Linked DNA regions of Drosophila melanogaster. The gene in region 4 interacts genetically with the main gene of each other region. Each region holds a gene or a part of one and is shown on either strand. Other genes may lie near its edges.

Region 1 (4,780 bases), 9.5 Mb from region 4:
ATCATCTACTACTTGCTGTCCATGATCGTTGGTTACTCCCTGTTGGTCTACTTGGCCTTGAAGAATCCCATGAAGCTCTCGCATGTGGCTTGCAGAAACATAGGTTGAGTAATTTTGTCTACTTCAACTGGATAACTTATTTTGTTCTATGCATCCCAAAAGGATTTCTGGCCTACTTCTGCATCATGCTCTCCTTCGTCTTTCTGGCCATTTGCAGTCTTGACTTTCTGCTCAAATTTAAACAAAAGGCTGTCAGGAGCTCCGTCCGTCGATTGTCCCTTGCTCTGGCAGTTCTGGCGGTGATTGGTCTTCGGTTTTTGGTCTCCTTAGCCCAGGACTCCAAGCTGCCCAAGCACTTCAAGCCAGGCATGGGAGAAGATTACTGCTGGTTCGATGGTAGGTTGAATAAGAAAGTACAACAAAGTCTAATTTCGAATTATCTATGCATTTTCAGTTCGCACCTGGGGTATTTTGATCTACTACTACGGACCCATTGCACTCCTCCTGATATTCAGCATTGTATGCTGTCTCAAGGCGTACTTTTCCATCTACGAACTGCCACCAGATACTCAGTACATATTGGGCACTCAACTGAAAATCGTCAAGACGCAGTAAGATTTCCTAAAAGCTGTTTTTATTATAGACCTATTTATCTTTTATATTCCTGCAGTTTCTATGCCTTTAGCGCTTACATAGTGGGCGTGTTTGCGGTCTGGATCCGAGAAATAGTCGTGTATATAATGGCCAGAGTGAGAGAGCATTTCTTCATCATTGACTTCTGGAGTGGAATTTGCATTCTGGGCCTGGCCATAGCTGGTTTTATTCTGCTCCTTGGCAAGAATTTGCACGTCAAATCCTGGTGGGCCATTAATGTGTAAGTTGAAATATTCGAATAGAAGCTATAATATTTTAATTGCCCATTTTTTTTTTTTACAGGGAATCAAGTCAGACAGATCTGAGTATTATTAATGCTCGCGTATACAAGTTCGATGAGAAAGGCGATCTAAAATCTTCAGGTTGGTGTTCATCTTATTGCTTTAATTTATCTTCTTTTAACATTGATATTTTCCTTCACAGACTCTCCCTACAAGCCGACAGTGACATCACTTTAACAGGAACTGAGATTATTGCTCATCTGTGAACTCTGGTATTCATATTCATTATGAATCATTTAGTCTGTCGCACACGGGAGAGTATATAAATAATAGTGCCTCAGTACTCTAGCATATTATGATGTACATTTATATCTTTAAGAAGAACCACATTTCTAATCACTTGTCACATTTACAAGGTGCCAAAATAAATATTATAATTCACTTGGATTAATAAGAATACTTTTGATTTGATGTACGCATTTAGTTTTTTCATCTTAATACCACATGTAGTCTCTACCTCCCCTGAAGACCAAAAAAGGCTTCCCGGTATGATCAACGGTAAATCATTCTTCGAAGGAAGCGCTTGACTCGATGAGGAGGGCCAAGTTAACTTGGGGGCCCGCCTGGATTAGTCGCATTTATTGACGCATTAGAGTGGGCATGGCTTAAATGTTGTTGCCATATCGATCGAAAATGGATAGACAAATAATAAAATGGCCTTGCAAGTTTTGTGCAGTTTGTGGGCTTGTTAATCTTCTCAAACAAACTGACGCTACCCGTCTACTTCCCTAATTTCTCAAGTTTCAAGCGTTTTAGTGTTCATTCACACATCCCACTCCGTCCAAGCAGTCAAATCGGGTATGCACCAGATAAAAGTAGTCAAACGGACCAAATCGGACGAAGACTTTTGAAAGGGAAACACCTATCGATGATATCGAATTTTCTGAAAGCGATAATATGGATATCCGGCGACTCGGACGATTTTTTTATCCAAGCAAAGGCCACACTTTATTTTTATCGTATATGTACATACATATATAATTCGCGGTTACGAGCTTTGCGCCATTTATTGGGCAACTTACCTTCAAACTATGCACAATTGATGCCCGCTATTTACAAACTGAGTAATAACGCGAATAACACTTTTTAAAATGTAAATTTCATATTTTTTCAATAATAATTTCCATAATACCAATCATTTTAATCAGCCCATTTTTATATTTTTCATAAGAATTATGTGGATGTACTCACCTATGAACTAAGCTCTTTGAACTCTTACGCAATTTCCCTGCAAAATAAATATATCCCTCTCATTAGGATAAGGTAAAAATTTTGATTGCAAATCTATCTCGTTGATTATAAAAACTTCAAAAAATCCGAATTTCGGTTTACATTTAACTTTGCGAAATATGGATAAAAATAGTAGCCAATATTGCTATATTTTTAAGAAATTTATAAATTTTAAATTTAAGAGGAAGACCAATAGCACACCGCAGAAAAAAATGGCTGCTTTAGAGATCTTAAGCTTGCATCTCATTCTTTCATCCTTACCACCGCAAAGTAAAATGGCGGTGGAAGAAAGAGACGAAGATATATTTTAATTGCTTAAAATCTTCCTTATCAACCCAGAATACAATGGCGGCGGAAGAAAGAAATTGAAACATAAAATTATGCTCTCTATTTTGTTTTAGATCAACAATGGTCACCTAGAATATAATGGCCGCTCAAGAGCATGAAGAATATTGTTAGTCTCTTCTTTTTAACACCAGTAATGAAAAAAATCGGAAAGACTACACACATGTACTTACTATTGTTTGTACGTATCCATTTGCTATCCATCACATATTTTGCATTTTAAATTAACATTTCCCCAATATTCACTGGGAATTCTAAGCCTAGCAAACACATACACTTGCACACTCACACACATGACGAGGATGAAAGAGGAGTGGAGAAAGCAACAAGCTTCTGGCATTGCCGTTACTTCCTCTTCTTTTCATACCTCGTAAGCTTTAAAAAACTGAACAAAAATGATTGCTGCTCTCGCAAGCTGTAATTTGCACGTGCAACATTGATTTCAATTAGACCGCTGCACATTTACTTGATTACCGAGTCACAAAATTAGTTTAAGTTTGCTCATTGCGCGTTGCAAACCTCGAAACCGCGAACTGTAAAAACGATAAGATAAAGTGTGACCGTGCTTGATATCGATCAGAAACTTTCGTCATGTAGAGATTATCGATACCTATTCTTCCTTTTTGGTATATACCAATAAATTCAGCTTCGATTGCCTTATCCTTCGTATTATTACTTTGATCAAGTAATGTCTTACAGGATTTAGCTGTGATTTAAATTTAAATGTAAAAAACGGCAACGCAGAAAATGATTTAAGTTTAACATGATTTTAGACGATTGAAGAAACTAATGCTATTGATGCTATATGACGAAAGCTATTTCAAAAACAATTTTATCTGATAGGTGAGTATAAGCCCTTTTCTATGTCTGGTCACACCGCAGAGATCTAAAAACGTAAACATTCATAATTAAAGCCATTCTTAGCCTTTGCTTAATAAACTTATTGAAGTAATGCCAATTATAGGCCTTCACTCGTCCCTGAAAGTGTTCTTCTGCTAAAATGCACAGTCTCGGCGCCAGCAAAGTCGTTGCTACTCTCCGAGCGGATGGTCACGTCTACCCCATGGAGAACTCCAACCTGATGCACTACGAGATCGTAAGACTCGCGGTACCTTGCTTGTAATTCACACTAACCGAGGCGACTCCTTCATAGCGCACCGAAGGGGATGTCCAGCAAAAGAAGGGGATCCTGGTGGGTCCGGCCACATGCGTTGACCTGGGCAAACAGCTGCTCCAGTGCGCCAGAGACAGCGATGTAGCTGGGGTCAAGGCGGCGCTAGCGCATGGAGCTCCCTTCGCTTCCGACTGGCTAGGTATGTCGGCACTTCACTTTGCCGCCATGAACAATCAGCTGGAGATTTGCGAAATCCTCCTGCAGGGGGGCATTAACATGGATGGCAAGACCAAGGTAGACCGAACGCCGCTCCACCTAGCCTGCTACTACGGTCACGAGCGGATAGTCAGCTTGCTGCTAGCGCTAAAGTGCAGCGTCAACTCCCGCGACATGGTAAGAATATATAAATAAATGACTGTTTAAAATGACTAACCAACATTCCTGTCAGCTTCGCATGACCCCGCTGCACTGGGCGGTCGAGAAAAAACACAAGGGAATTGTGCGCCTGCTACTCAAGTGCCAGGCAGATGTCACCTTGGTCTCCAAATTCGGCAAGACGCCGATCGGACTTGCCGTGTACACGGAACAAGCGGATGTGCTGGCGGAGTTGGAAGCGGCACGACAGGCGCAGGCCAGTAAGAAGTTACACGAGGAATCGGAGGTGAGTGCGCTTGAAGAAATCCACTGAAGGCCATATTTACTACTTAATATGAGGTTTTACTTACGTTTCGCTTGGCTGTTCCTTATTCTTAACAATACAATTGATCGCTGCCTTTTCCCACGCTGCGCTTATCAAACTTCAGCAACAAGCACATAAGACCAAAGTATGTACTTTCGACAACTTGTATTAGGTTGTCACAAATAATAGCAAGAACATTCCCAACTTTGGCCTACATTCCTGATCCTAAAAAATTGTGACAAATACTTTATTCCCAATTGATTCGCAGAAAGAAAAATCATATCATATTTATTCCCCATCGATTTGCAGAAGGAAACCAATGAAGCTGTCAGCTCAATAATGGACGAACCGGAAGTAATTAAAACCGTGGACGACAAAGAAATGTCGGTTGAAGAACGAATGGATGTCCTAGAAAACATGCGAGGCCGTAAGTTACTAGATTCGGAGATATTAAACGAATATTTAACGAAAAACCTA
Region 2 (4,723 bases), on a different chromosome or scaffold from region 4:
AAGAGGTGGGCGGGGAAGTGCAAAGTGCGGTGGCCACAATTTGGCCCTTTGGACTGGCCTGCAACTCTTGGCTTTGCAGCCAGCGACACTTTTCCAATATTTTCCATTTCCCCAACCACCCGTTTTGAATGAAAAACGAAGTGGCAACAGTGTTGCGTGGCATCCAGCGATTGCCTTTAAGTTTTCACTCTCCAGAAGTTAGTTGCGTGCAAATGGGCGGTAGTTAAATGCTAATTTCAAATAAAAAACCAAGAAGTAACAGTCGCCAAATGGACATATCAGGTTGCGCGAGGTGTCCTCGTTAAGAATGAATTCAATTATCGTTATGATTTCATGTTTTGGCACTTCCCCAACCACATTTCCACCAGACACGTAAACAAAGTCAACAAAGTACAAGTCGAGGAGCCCAGGGACTGCAGTGCACTGATCCAATTAGCCAAGGGAAATTATTATAATTATATTACGACAGTCAGTGGGCTTCACTTGGCCACGACGGCTGCTAAACTTTCATTTAGGGGCAGTCCCCGGGTATATTGAGCGTTAATAATACGATGCGTTTTCGTTGCGCGACATTGGGGTCAGTATCGAGTGCCACTGCTCTTCACATTTTATGAATCGGTATCTGGAAGCAATGCAAATTTTATAAATATTCTCTGCAACACGTGCTTCTTGACAGACATTTTAATGACAACTTTTCAATAGCTGAGTATATCCCATTTATTTAATCACATAAAATTCATATAAAAGCAAGTCTGTTAGCTATTTATTGATTGCTTAGAGCAATAAAGGGCCGCTTTAAATATTGGCTTATTTATTGTTGAATAGCAATGCGATAAAAACTAATAAAGCAACTGGATCTATAATGAGTTATATATATAAATTTTATTATATAATTTTAAAAATGGCAACGGTTTTTCTTTTGGTTTTTTACAATCATATACCTTTTTCATATTGTAATCTATTCGCATCACATACAATCCTGCCACCTATCATCGCACTACCTTCATGAGTAGCAGAGATAAGCTCGATGTTCTTTGGTTGACAACCAATAGAAAAGAAGCTTTAAAGCAAACATTTAACCGCGAACGGGCATTATGGCCGCCAAACTCTTCCTCCAGATAAGAAATCGGACTTTAAGCGCCACTGAAATTGGTGAAATACAAAGTAGAACGCACTTTAAGGCGGTTGGCCAACCAGAGCAGAAACATTCGAGTAGCCAACAAAAAGATAAACAGCGCCGAAAAACTTTTTTCGGGGTGGAGACTCATTTTAAACAAATTGGCAAAAAGTTGAGACCCCCGAAACCGAAAAGTCCGGCGATAAAGAGCCTTAACGGTAAAAGTATCTAACAGATGCGCCCAACAGCGAGCTAATAAGAGCAAACGGGTTCTAGTTGGATTGGATGAGTGAGTGAGTGTGCTTCGTTGAGTGAGAGAGCAGCCACTCTGTTTCAGTTCAGTGGTGGTGGTGGTGGGTATACTGGGTGCACTGGTGGTGGTGGTTCAGTGGTGGTGGCAAACCAGCCAAACGCGTCGAAGGTCTTGCCCCACCAACGCGAGCGAGCGAGAGCGGCGATTTCACTCAACTAGAAGGCAATGCCAGCTAAACGAGAGTGAGCAGACCAGCACCACTGCCCGTTTGAGTTGAGTATGGGGAGCGGAGAGAGATTTGTGTGATGTGTCGTTAGGTCGAAACGGTCGAGTCGAGTCGGGTCGGGTCGTGTACCTTTTGCCACGAATGTTGTGCCAGTCAGGCTCTAAAAGGCCTTACGAGAACAGCTGAGATTTCGCTGCTCCGCATGACGCAAAGATACCGAAATTGAAAAATTTTCAAGTCTTTAAGATATTATATCTCGTGTGTGCGCCGAGCGGGAAATTAATAAGCAACATCGAAAAAATTCAAAAATTCAAAAATAAACCAAGTGTTTTATTAGTGAAGCCAGCTGAAATGTTAACAGCATATGCAGCTTAAAAGAAAATATTAAATTTATTTTAACATAAAGAAGAAGAATTATAACGCGGCTGACAAATACGAATAAAAGGATACAAGTTAAAAGCTAGAGCCGAGGACTCTATCGAAACCAAAGTGTGAACCGTACCAAGTGCGTACAAAGTGTATTCCAGCAATTATCCCACGTGTTCCGACCCGGCCGCCAAAATTATTACGCACAATTCGCTGAGCGTGTACGGCGGCGGCGTCATGTGCGCCTCCCCGTCCACGGCTCCCGGCTTCTTCAATCCGCGCCCGCAATCCGGCGCGGAGCTGTCGGCCTTCGACATCGGCCTGTCCCGCTCGATGGGGCTGGGCGTCCCGCCACACAGCGCCTGGCACGAACCGCCGGCCTCCCTCGGCGGTCACCTGCACGCCGCCTCCGCCGGACCGGGCACCACCACCGGCAGCGTGGCGACGGGCGGCGGCGGTACCACTCCGAGCAGCGTGGCCAGCCAGCAGTCGGCGGTGATCAAGCAGGATCTCTCTTGCCCCAGCCTCAATCAGGCGGGATCCGGCCATCATCCTGGCATCAAGGAGGATCTGTCCAGCAGCCTGCCCAGCGCCAATGGTGGATCCGCCGGTGGCCATCACTCCGGTTCCGGATCGGGTTCCGGTTCGGGCGTCAATCCCGGACACGGCTCCGACATGCTGCCCCTGATCAAGGGCCATGGCCAGGACATGCTCACCAGCATCAAGGGACAGCCCACGGGCTGTGGCAGCACCACGCCCAGCTCCCAGGCGAATAGCTCCCACTCGCAGAGCAGCAACAGTGGATCCCAGATCGACAGCAAGCAGAACATCGAGTGCGTCGTCTGCGGCGACAAGAGTTCCGGCAAGCACTACGGACAATTTACCTGCGAAGGTGAGTACACTGCGAGAAATTATATTCAAATAGGGGGGGAAACAGTTAGAGTGAATGTGTGAGCTAGGGATGTTACCACTCCACCAGTACATTAATTGTGCTTATGCCATACATGTCAATGTATCTATTTGGTGCCATCTTGAGGACCATCACATCTTGGCAATTTTTATTGCTGAGTAGCGATCTCACCTCCAAGGTGCAATTGGGGGTCAATTGATTTCGTACTCGGATTCGAACTGGGGATGACCAAACAGAAATGGCCAACGTAATAGAAAGCGAGCACAAAAGCGTGCCTGCCAGCCGCTGATTTTTGACAGTTTCGGTGAGTTATGGCAGTTTGATGAGTTGGCAATAAACCCTCGGCCAGGTGTGGGTGTGTGGCGGAATGGTAGAGCAGTGGGAATTCTTCCCAGGGCCATGCAAAAGTTGACGGGATGCAGCTGGAATGTATATCTGTGGGCCAGGGCAGTCAATAAACCTACGTGGAGCCCAAAAGCTAGTTAGTTGATCGGGGGCCCCAAATCATGTAAAAATGTTTTTACGAGCAAAAAATACATTTATGATCTAAAATATAGTTTGGTTTGACCCCAGCGAGATTTATGTTTGCGCATAAGCTTACTGTCTTTTGCTGATATATTATTGTGTCTAATTAAATTTTACAGCTGCAATTGCCCCTAAAGTGGTGATAAAGTATCTAAAAAAAAATCCCTGTTCTGGCAGATGATTTTCCAGATACTCAGATACTTTTGCATCTCCGGCCATCATTCCGTTACACTAGAGCTCGCAGCACGAGAGCTCTTGAATATAGCCATATATATATATATATACATATATTGCGATCTGGGCACCCACTGCCTCTCGGCCTTATCGTCAGATAAAAATTATTATCTAAATAAAATACGGTCCGTGCTTTGTCCTAAGCCAAACAATTGTTGTGCAAACATGCAAATTGTGCGGCGGCCGCTAAATGAAGCGCCCACCTTCTTATTGTCTCTCTCACTGGGTTTCTGGATAAGGGGAGCCTCACCTGGAGTTCCGGAAAAGAGGGGTGGCAGATGGGCAATGGAAGGCGGGAGGCGGGGCAGATGGGTAACTGCATTCAGAGATAGAGGGAGATCTGGCATACGCTCTGGCATTTAGTGCAGCTTGAAGTTGAACTTGTCATGCTCGTATCTCTTCAAATGTTCTGGCACTGGAGCACACAGGCAAAGCCACTGCCACAGCCACAGCTAAGAGCCAAGAAGTGACTATGACTGGGCAGAGGCACAGTGGGCCATTGGTATGATGATACCAGAGATTCCCAGATACTTGGCACTCCGTTGGCTCCCACTGTTCGTTCGCGGGCGCTGCTATTATTATTAATCACCGAGCATTTTGTACGCATGCGCAACCCACAAGAGCAACAATCAGAAGATATGCGGCTCTGTGACCGCCTCGTTGCATTCTGAAGGTGTTTCCCCGGATCCCTTCATGTGGCATAGTATGTAGTTGCCTGTTGGCCTGATGATGTTGCCACGATAGCAATCTATTTTGTTCTATGCAATCGCCCAGACTGCAGAGCTGTAGCTTTAGCTTCACTCAAATGCTGGCGAAATAAAACGTAGGAATAATCATAATAAAGCGCATAGAGCCCATATCATTGCCGGCGTTTTCAGGGTTTTTTTTTTATGTTTGCTACTCTGGTGCCTGGTCGCGTCCTTTCAGCTGATTCACTTCGAGGTGCAGATACTTTTCGTGGCTCTTAGAAAAGAAAGATACTCCACTCCACACCACTCCGTTGCGCGGCAACTCGTTTCGGCTGTCTGAGCTCTAAACTCGTGTGTGTCCGTGTGTGTGTGTGCTCACTTGTCCGTCTGTCTGGAGGTCCCT
Region 3 (4,688 bases), on a different chromosome or scaffold from region 4:
GTTGTTGATGAGTGGGTGGTGTCTTTTGTTTATGGTCACTCGGACCACTTCGCCCCTTCACGTAAACGCCTTTTGCGGCATTGTGAAATTTCCCAGGACGCACATAAAAATGAAAACCGCCAGAAGGGCCAGATAACAAGTGGCAAGGAAAACGGGGGCGTGGCATGGTGGAAAAAAAAAATGAAACTGAAAATGCAGGAGGGGCAAAAGTGGAAGTCAGTCAGGCAAGGAAAATGCAATTGACTGGGTTGCAAAAGAGGTGCATATGGCGATGACTTCAAACAGCGCGGTTTGTGCATCTCAGGAATTGAAATGAAAGTCTTAAAAGAATTTCTTAATAAAACCGAGCTGCTTTTCATAAGCAAGTAGTCTTATAATAGCATTTTCTATTAGGCACTATATGACATTACTATTATTAAAGTATATTCTTGTATTTTAATTTTGGTCTGGTGGTGTTTGGTTTATTCCATATAGTACTATAATTAAAATATAAACAAACAGTTTTAACTACTTTGAATGGCCTAATTTTGTTTCTTTTCAACCACTTTAAAGCTCGCGATGAGGTCATGAAAATAAAATTGAAACAGGAAAATAAAATAAACCACAGCAGCCGCTGCTTCGGTCAGATTTCGAGTTCGTGCCTTCATTAATGATTTTTCTCTTTTGTTTCTGTTTTAATTGTGAGATAAAACTTACCGATAATGAGCAGCTTTATGGTCGACATGTTTGACTGCTGTGCTGTTGCTGATGAATTTTCTGTTTTTCCGCCTGTTTTTCTTGTGCGCTTTTTTTTTGTTTCGTTCAACTCTTTGGGTGGTATTTACAGAAATATTAATCCGCTAAAGAGGCAACAGTTTGACAGTAACTGGAGTCGGCGACCCGCCCAAATTGCATTTTAATGTCGCAATGGAAATGCAATTTGGCTGACGATTATCCCGAGACACATTTCGGTTTTTGTTTCTGCGGTTGTGCGTTTTTTTCTCTCTATTTCGGTTTCAATTTGCGTGTTTTTAAAGGCTCACTCGAGAATTGATTTTGCAATGCGATGCTGAAATGCTCGTTCAAATATTCACGCACTCGAGATGCCGATACTACGGCTGGACACTGTAATTAAATGTTTCAATTAAATTAAATGCGACACACACACACTCGTGCTCATGTTAAATGCATATGGAAGGCGCCTAGAAGTAGGCAATGAATATTTAAAGGCTCAGACATTTCAATTTGGGCTTGCAAAACCGGGCCGAGGCCGAAAGGTCCAATTGAAGCCATGCCCAGGCATTAAATGAACATATTTCCCAAATAATAATAATTTGCAAGAGCACCGACTAGAGATGGATACCCCAAATGGAATTGTGCCCACTCAGTTGGCTTTGCCCCCGCCGCACATGTAAACTGTGCTGCTAATGTCTTATTCATGTTTACAATACCCAGCAAAAAGCGACTTATGAGCGGACAGCATGTCAGTCAAATAGCTTGAAAATGGCCCATCGCTTGCGTGCTCCAAACTTATTAGGTTTCATCCTAACGAAAATCCCACACCCTCCATATCCGCATCCACATCCCAGCCCCAGGTGAGTTGATTCCGCCGGAATGGTTGATGGGCCTCCTTTTGACCAAGCCTCGGCAATTGCCGGGCTATTTATTTAAACCGGAGCCGAGGGGACACAAAACCGTAGCGTTTTACTGCCCAATTGTTAATGGAAATCTCCTGCGTTACTCGACACTAATCACTAAGTAATTATGAGTTATTAATGGTGACTGCTTATTTTTATTTTGAGCCAGAGCTTTGGAAAGATAATCCGTACTTAAAATAAAACACCTTTAATTTTATGCATTTACACTGCTTGAGTTTATAGCAGGTTTTTTAGTCACTAACTTACAATTTAATCACTTAGGTGTTTTCACAAAATCTAAATTTTTGAATATTTTAAAACTTCTTATCAGGTCACTTGCATATTTTGGCAAGCTTTCCTCGTTTATTTAGTTTTTCTTCAGGAAATTTATGTGTTTTAAGCAATAAATACTTGTATTATCACAAAACGCTTTAGGTAACAGTTATCTCGATTGTCTTTGCTGTATTTAAATGCACTGTGCCTCAGAATCGAATACTAATGAAAATATATATCTTTTACTATTTGACTCCAGTGCATTCAAATCGACATTTTATTTAAGAAACTCTCGGCAACTCACAACTCAGCGAACTAAACATGGCTCCTAATTCGCTTATGCACTGCCAGTAACTTTAAGCTAAACCATTTTCAACGCCATCAAAATAACCAGCCGTCATAACAATGGGCAAAAAAGCAAGAGAAATCCTAAAGAAAGCTCCCAAATCAGCTGTCACAGTGGAATAATAAAAATAATTTATTTGCATTTTATTTGCCCAGCCTGGGAGTGAGTCTGGCTCGGACTTGTTTTCTAGGACCAAAGAGCAAGGACCAAGGACAACAAGTTGCTGACACACACAAACGGAAAGGACGCACAAAAAAAATAAGAGGAAATTATACGGATTTGACAGATGAGCGAAGGTAAGTGGAGCACAACTTTCGCAGCGGCTTTAAATTGAGCAGAAATTGTTTGTCACTGTTTGCTGGCCCCTTTTGGCGCTTTGCTCGTATTTTATTTTATTTCATTTCATTTCTTTTTTCCCGTTTTCTATTTCTGTTGCACTAGTTTTGGCCCAGTTTCTGGCTTTTTGGCGGCATAAATATGCATGGCTGTGGGCCGAGCAGCGGGCGGTGGGGGCAGGAGGTGGGTGCAAGGTCACGGGGAAAAGCGGGGCAACAGTTGCACTTGAGTGCCATTTGTCGAAAGAGTTGCCCGGCAATTTGCATAATTACAAACGCACATGTAAGCGAAACGCGGTTTCCGCCTGTCCGCAATTTCCACTGCAACGCTTTTCCGCACTCGCGTTTCTTCGGTTTCTACATATACTTGGGGTCCTGTTTTTAGGAGACTTTTCCACTCGGCCTTTCCAGTTCTTCCCGACTTTTCCGCTTTGCCGCCCGTGGCCGCAGAATGCTTCTTACCAACTAAGTGCAATTTCGGTTTTGTTCCAGCTTAAGAACGAAGTTCGATATGACGAGCTGCAAAACACGAGTACAGTGAACTTCGGATGTCGCGTACGAGTGTACGAAATCCATAGACGAAGTCGCCAATTTCGGTTGTTGAATATTATTCGAGGCGGCTGCGCTGAGAGAAAGGCTTGGCAACATGTTGCCAAGGGAGAGAAAGTTCTCTTTTGAAAAAAAAAGAGAGCGGCTAAGGACTTTTGTGGTAGGTTAGGAACTCTAGTGAAAGGACTCAAAACAACGAACCGCAAATTGTCCTAGGCCTGTAATTCATCCATAGATCAACGGAAATTTTGTTAAACATAACTCTAAGTTTTATGAAATAGTTAATCATGCCTAGTTGTCTTTATACAATGCCAACTATTCCATATTTATTTCACTTTAAACATCACATACTTTTCATTCATATTAATATCTTCTTGTTTGATAGCTCAAAGTTTACAAGATTTAAGAACATGTTAATTTGTAGATATTTTCATTATTCGATTCAAATCATCATTAATGGTTTACAGATGAATTTATTTCTACAAATAAATACATACAAGTTGTTTAATTTTATCAAACTGCTACATTTATTAGTTTTATTTGCTTTTGTGGTCCTTTTCCTGCTCTTTGGTTTATTTATGTTTTGGGGTCAGTTGTTTATGGCCATAAACACACACGAAGCATAGTCCACGAAATTTTGTTTGGACCATAATCGTTGGGACTCGGTTTTAGACAAGTTTTTTGCCCCAATCCTGGCTAACTTTTCCGGAGAGAAACTGTTTCCTATTTCACTCGTTCCCATCTCTCTTTTCCGTGCGGTTTTCTCTCACATTCTCTTGCCGAAACTTTCTCTTTTGGCAACATGTTGATTTGTTGCACTTGCAAGTGCATTCGTTTTTATTAATCAAGGCAATCAACAGTTGGTCCTGACTAGTGCAGACAGAAAGTACGGAATGCTCTGCATTTCGTTTTTTAATATTTTCACATGAATTATATGTTCCTGAAATCTTTTTATTTTACGAAAACTTACATATTTGAAGGGTCCTTTTGAATATTTTGAGCAATCAACAAAAGTGTCCCCCATTTTACAACAGCTATGTTTCTGAGTAGTTTATGGCCCACGCTTCGCAGGATAAACATTTTGGGCCCTTAGGCAGTTGTTTTGCAGCCCTTACTCCCTGTTTTGAACATGTCGTGGCACATAAAAAATATTTGCAAACTAAATGTGGCAAGTTTGGGGAGAAAAAAAGTAAAAAAAAAAAAAAGAGACCGCCACAAAGGTTGAGCCAACACCTTGGCACTCAAATACACACAGATATGTACAAAAGTTGTTAAAAAGTCCGAATAAATAAATTTTCTCTTTCAGCGAAAGAGAAAGATGTAGTGGGAGTAAGTGAGAGGTCGGAAGTGGAGACGCCTCACAAATGTTTGACATAAATTTATGCGTTTTGTGTGTTGCCCACGAAAACTCCTCAACTTTGCTTGTAGATCAGGTTAGATGGTACAATTTCGTTTTGGGGCGGAGGGCTTGAAAACTTTAGAGGAGGGGCTGGAAAATCAGGGGGTGGAGGAATTCGGGGCAGTCATGGTTGAGGATGCCAAACTAAAGTGTGTGCCGAAATTGAGTTG
Region 4 (4,922 bases):
GGTTATGCGCTAAACATTTTAATTAAGTGGAAAAGTATTACGCCAATTTTGGACGGACGTTTCGTGTAGAAATCGCAACGAGCAACAAAATGGAAATGGAAAGCCCCCACAACAATAGCAACAAAAGCGAAACTCCGTGTGTAATTGAAACTGAGCACGATGTGGAAGTATTATTATTAAGCATGCAAAGCATAATGAAGTGGAAATATGATACTTGGGAGAAGAATGCAGGGTGTACATACATATACATACATAGATATGTATAGCGCTTATAACGATATATAAATACGTACATATATCACGTTATAAAGCGGATGGGAAAGAAGCTGACTGTTGATGGGCAATAGAGGTGACACAGCAGCTAATGTGCTATAATGATGCGATAATCAATGATGATTATGGGAAATGAATAACTTTCATTCTTCAATCATTAGAAAACGTGATCGTGAGCCGTTTGAAATCGCATTTCTATATCTTTAGTAGAGTTTTTAAGAGGGAAAACTATAAATAAATAATAGTGAGTTCCCAATAATACTTCTATAAAACTAGAGAATATGGTTAAATTTCCTGCTCGATAGGTATTCCCGATCCATAACACAGCATTTTTTAACATTTTAGAGGCATTTTTGAATGGCAATTCCTTTAGATATGGTGTTGTGTAATAACTACTCAGGATTTTTAATGAGATCAGATATGTATCTTGGGAAGCTGTGGTCGATCCTTAACGGAATTTTTGCAGGTAAAGAGGGTAAACATGAACCACAAAGGCGAACGAATGAAATGGAGGTAAAAAGGTGACAGCTAATTTGCCATAACAACCCGATAATCGAAGGAAGTGCATAACTTTCGTTCTTCAATCAGCGCAGAAACGTGTTTTAATTCATTTTTAACCAATATTGTGCCATCTTCTTCGCAGAACCCAAAAGGGTTAAAGCAGCTGGAGAAAGAAGGGAATGTGGCAAAAGGAAGTGTCGAGAGGAGAGGAGGGTGCGAAGAGAAGATCCCGACAAAGACAGAGGCGCATGCGAAAACAATTGAAGCGTGCAAAAAGCAGTTGAAGAGGGGAAGACACGGAAAAAAAGAAGAGCAACTGAAAAAAGCAAGAGTTTTATGGCCGGAGAAAAAGAACACAAAACCGCAACACACGAAGGGAAACTCTGGGCGCTGGGAAACGGAAATCAAAAGCGGCAAGGCAACAATGTTGTTGCAGCTTTGCATATAATTTATGTTGAAAAAGCATAGCAAAAGCTGCTTATGAGTTGCGAGATTGAAAATGTGAGAAGCAGAAGAGGTAAAAATAAATGCGTGTGCAGGTGTGAAAATGAGATCACGGGAACTTTTGAACCCCCCCCCCCCCTCCCCGCACAGTACACACAGCCAGTGGTTATTCATAATTCTGTTTTACTTTTTATGTTTCAACAGGAAATGTAAAACCACCAAAAAACAACCGCAAGTTTATTTTTCGTCTATCTCTTGCAGTCTGCTTCGCTCTCGCTTCAGAATGAAGTGGATGGCAGAATGGAGAGGAAAAGTGAGAGAGCGTCATTCATTCATTTGACCTCTTGCCAATATATAGTAGGCCATTAATCGATGCTCTTTTCGCTTGTTGCTTTTGATAATCATTCATAAAACAGACACCTTCGTATTGAGAAAAGTACACCGAATTCGAAAATTCCATTCATAAAAAAACCCACACATTGTTGCTGGGATCTCTCTGCCGCTTGTGTGTGTGCGTTTGTCGCGTGTGTGTGAGCATGCGCTGGAGCGTCTCACAGACACATGCTTGATTTCCGATTCATTCACAAAAAGGGGCGCATTCAAAACTGCGGGGGGTGTGCTGGGCGATGAAGGAGGAAGAGCGGTTCTGGGGGTGGGTCAAGAAGCGAATGCCGTAACATTCAGCCTGGTCATCCATTACTTCTCAAACGGCAGCAACAACAAATGTATTGCACTGCTGCTGCACGAAAAAAAAACACACACACACAGGGAAAAAGGCAACAGAAACACACACGCACAGAGCAACACGCGAGTCAGAGCGGGACAGCATGCTTATACACTTGAACGCAATATGCATTTCTAGAACAAAAACACATTTGTTTTCTCAATTAATCGACTTTCTTTGCCTCAACTCGCACAAATTTCGGTTTGCCATTAGATTACACAACATTTTGGAAAACTTTTAGACATATTCTCCCGATTCTATGTTGTTTTCTGCTTGGAAGAGGCTCCGCGGGGCAAACGGCGACGCTGTCAAAATTCCAGCACACTTTGGAACATAAAAAACGCACGTTGCTGCGCGTATTTCACTCAACGTTCATGCCACGCATGTTCTTCGACATATTTTTGATGTTTTTGAACGATTTCGCACTCGATTTACATACCAATTTTCACTTTTAATTGCTCTTCAATGCGCACTTCGCGTGTATCGGCCATTTTGTTGTTGTTGCTGCTTGGCTCGACGGCGACGGGCGAGTTAATATTATTGTCGTCTCGCTCGTCGAACATATAGCGCTTCTTCTTCAGCAGCATTGTGCGCTTAAAGCAGCCAGCTTTTTGTCAGCTACCCACTGGGGAACTTGCAACACGCGATTGGAAATTTATCTAACTCCTTCACTCGATCTTCACGAAACTTTAATAACTCGAAATTATTTGTTTTTCTTTAACAGGTTTATTAGCCGGCTATTTGCATTTGAATTTCATCACTCGCTGCAGCGTTGCATTGTGCATTGAGCTGGTGTGACGGGAATATGAGTCGATTTGCCGCTCACGAAATGCACTTTCCCTGTTGCTTCAGGGCTCGACTGATTTTAGTATTTCGTTTTAACTACAAACTGTTTTTTGCACGCACTAGCAGACGTGGGATTATATTATCGAAGTATGGAAAGTAATTCGGTTGCTTGAATCAGAATCGCAAAAACTTGGTTCTCCGAGTTTATTTGCTTTGCGGGTTTACACGCATCCGCGAACAACCTTTCGAAGCGGAATCAGAACTAGAGTGACCGTAGCGAGACGGTTGTATGACTCCAACGAATTAGTGTGACCTTAGCACGGTGCCCCGAAAATACCACGGGAAACGCAAATGATTAATGTTTGCTTAATAATTTGTTTGAAGCAGATATGTTTTAAAATAATTTTTTTATTTTATTCAACAACGGCTTATGCTTATTAAGTTAAGCACAACAGTAAGGTTTTCATTAAAAATGTTTAAGTTTAATTTCGATATTTCACCAGTTCTGGCTATCGAATATATATCGTTAGCTCCAACAAACAGTTATATATTTTGTAATTTATTTAAAATTGATTATTATTAAACACTGAATTTTTGGTTTTTTTTATTTTAACTTGAGGTTTAATTGATGTTTTTATTAATTCCGATTGGTTTTTAGTTGCTTAACTTTGAAACACACTCCGAATTACGAACGTGTTGCAGGTCGGCCGAAATGGAACTGAATTAAAATTTCCAAGCGGCAAGTGTACACATGCACCTCCCAAAAATTTTGTGAATGAAAACGCACACACGCAGCAGCGGTCACCTACACTTAAACACACACACATGTTGCACCGGCGCCACCAACAGCGGAAACAACCGAAGATCGCCGGCAGAGAAAGTCGAGGCATATGCGACTTAAGAAGGGCGGTACAAAGCAATAAAAAACCCTGTTTTGTTTATGATCGATCGTTAAGGAATTATATCAGAAAGCAATGTTTATTTTTAAATTCAACCAGTTTAAGATTCATATCTATTCCAATAACCATGTATCAATAGCTAGTTATGCTTAGCAAAGTAAGTAAAAATCAAATGCCCGGCTGTTTATACCGTAGCGCACATTACGTGGGCGTTCTGGATCGCAGACAGTCCACAGGAACCCGAGGAACTACATAGTACACACATATGTACATTAAAAGTACACAAATATTCAGAAACAAGGCAGTGAAATGTGAAATTCACACGGCATCCGGACAGCAACGCCGCTTATGTTTTTCTTTACGCATATGTTGCTTCTGCTCCTTGCCTTGGAAACCACATGCATCACAACAACAACAAGAACAACAACTGGCAGGGAGAGATCAACAAGTGAGGCGGTGCATCTTATCACAACTGCCGCCAATAAGTGGAAGTGGTCGGGTCAACATTTCGGATGGTTGCTCGGCTGGGTTTCATTGTTTTCGTATGCCCTGCATTTGATCTAGTCACTTCAACTGCACTGAGCAAAATAATTGTATATAAAATAAATTATAATTGTAAATACTATAACACAGTTATAGTTTATAGTAATTGTAATAATTTAAAGAGACTTATCGAAAATTAACATTTCCCTTTAGTATATGCTTTTAAAGTGTATCATAATATTTGTTAAGAACGTTCACAATGCTATTTTCTGTGTAGCGTGCGTAACGACCATTTGAATATGTTGATCATTTCGCTCAACGAAACGTAACCGACGTGGGAAGAAGAGGAGACAGGGCTTTTCTTCTTTTTTTCCGTTTCCAGCTGTCCACTCGATTCCTCCTCCTCCTCCATTTGCCCCGCCCACAAAATTCGAAGCTAGGCGCAGATGTTATAAATATAGTATTTTGTGGCATTTCCATTCGTATGAATGGGTCTACGAGTTTCGGTTTCAGGTTTTTGGGCCTGTTTATAAACCCACTCCTCCCATATTTTCTCATATTTATGTCCGGAAAAGTGTTTTGGTCATTTGTCTAGCTTCCGTTATTATTTCGTTATGAATGAAAAACCCATTTGGACCGGGTTTTTTGATCTCCCTAATTTACAACATTTATTTAGTATTAACTCGATCTTGACGTCAATATGGGTTCGTAAACTTCGTTTACTATTTGCGTCGTGAACAAGTTTCTTAAAACGTTTAGTTTTTCTTATCCACCTCATGTTAATGTGAAGTTTACACATAAATACTCATAAA

The links.
Region 1: of RasGAP1 (region 4) and Ptpmeg, changing one suppresses a phenotype caused by changing the other (phenotypic suppression), as found in Drosophila melanogaster (one study listed by BioGRID).
Region 2: of RasGAP1 (region 4) and svp, changing one enhances a phenotype caused by changing the other (phenotypic enhancement), as found in Drosophila melanogaster (one study listed by BioGRID).
Region 3: of RasGAP1 (region 4) and fred, changing one enhances a phenotype caused by changing the other (phenotypic enhancement), as found in Drosophila melanogaster (one study listed by BioGRID).

Annotation. Positions count from the first base shown.
Region 1 is NT_037436.4:326,372-331,151, reverse strand, and holds the start of Ptpmeg (protein tyrosine phosphatase Meg), read right to left. Parts: upstream 3,056-4,780; 5' UTR 2,684-3,055; intron 2,164-2,683; 5' UTR 2,127-2,163; intron 1,331-2,126; exon of another isoform or gene 1,113-1,330; coding exon of another isoform or gene 1,078-1,112; intron 1,017-1,077; coding exon of another isoform or gene 937-1,016; intron 875-936; coding exon of another isoform or gene 671-874; intron 612-670; coding exon of another isoform or gene 455-611; intron 397-454; coding exon of another isoform or gene 163-396; intron 104-162; coding exon of another isoform or gene 1-103. Other genes in the region: mthl9 (methuselah-like 9), read left to right, coding at 1-103, 163-396, 455-611, 671-874, 937-1,016, 1,078-1,112; Atac3 (Ada2a-containing complex component 3), read left to right, coding at 3,511-3,606, 3,664-4,017, 4,073-4,285, 4,428-4,448, 4,613-4,730.
Region 2 is NT_033777.3:12,279,396-12,284,118, forward strand, and holds the start of svp (seven up), read left to right. Parts: upstream 1-1,714; 5' UTR 1,715-2,199; coding exon 2,200-2,854; intron 2,855-4,723. UniProt on the Drosophila melanogaster protein: Receptor that is required in photoreceptors R1, R3, R4 and R6 during eye development; generation of the ganglion mother cell-2 (GMC-2) fate in the nb7-3 lineage, coinciding with the transition in the expression of HB to KR in the neuroblasts (NBs).
Region 3 is NT_033779.5:3,988,697-3,993,384, forward strand, and holds the start of fred (friend of echinoid), read right to left. Parts: upstream 3,018-4,688; 5' UTR 2,852-3,017; intron 1,105-2,851; 5' UTR 725-1,104; coding exon 697-724; intron 1-696.
Region 4 is NT_037436.4:9,852,284-9,857,205, forward strand, and holds the start of RasGAP1 (Ras GTPase activating protein 1), read right to left. Parts: upstream 3,003-4,922; 5' UTR 2,530-3,002; coding exon 2,382-2,529; intron 1-2,381. UniProt on the Drosophila melanogaster protein: Inhibitory regulator of the Ras-cyclic AMP pathway. May function as a negative regulator of Ras85D/Ras1 in the sev signaling pathway. Acts cell autonomously in cone cell precursors as a negative regulator of R7 photoreceptor cell determination.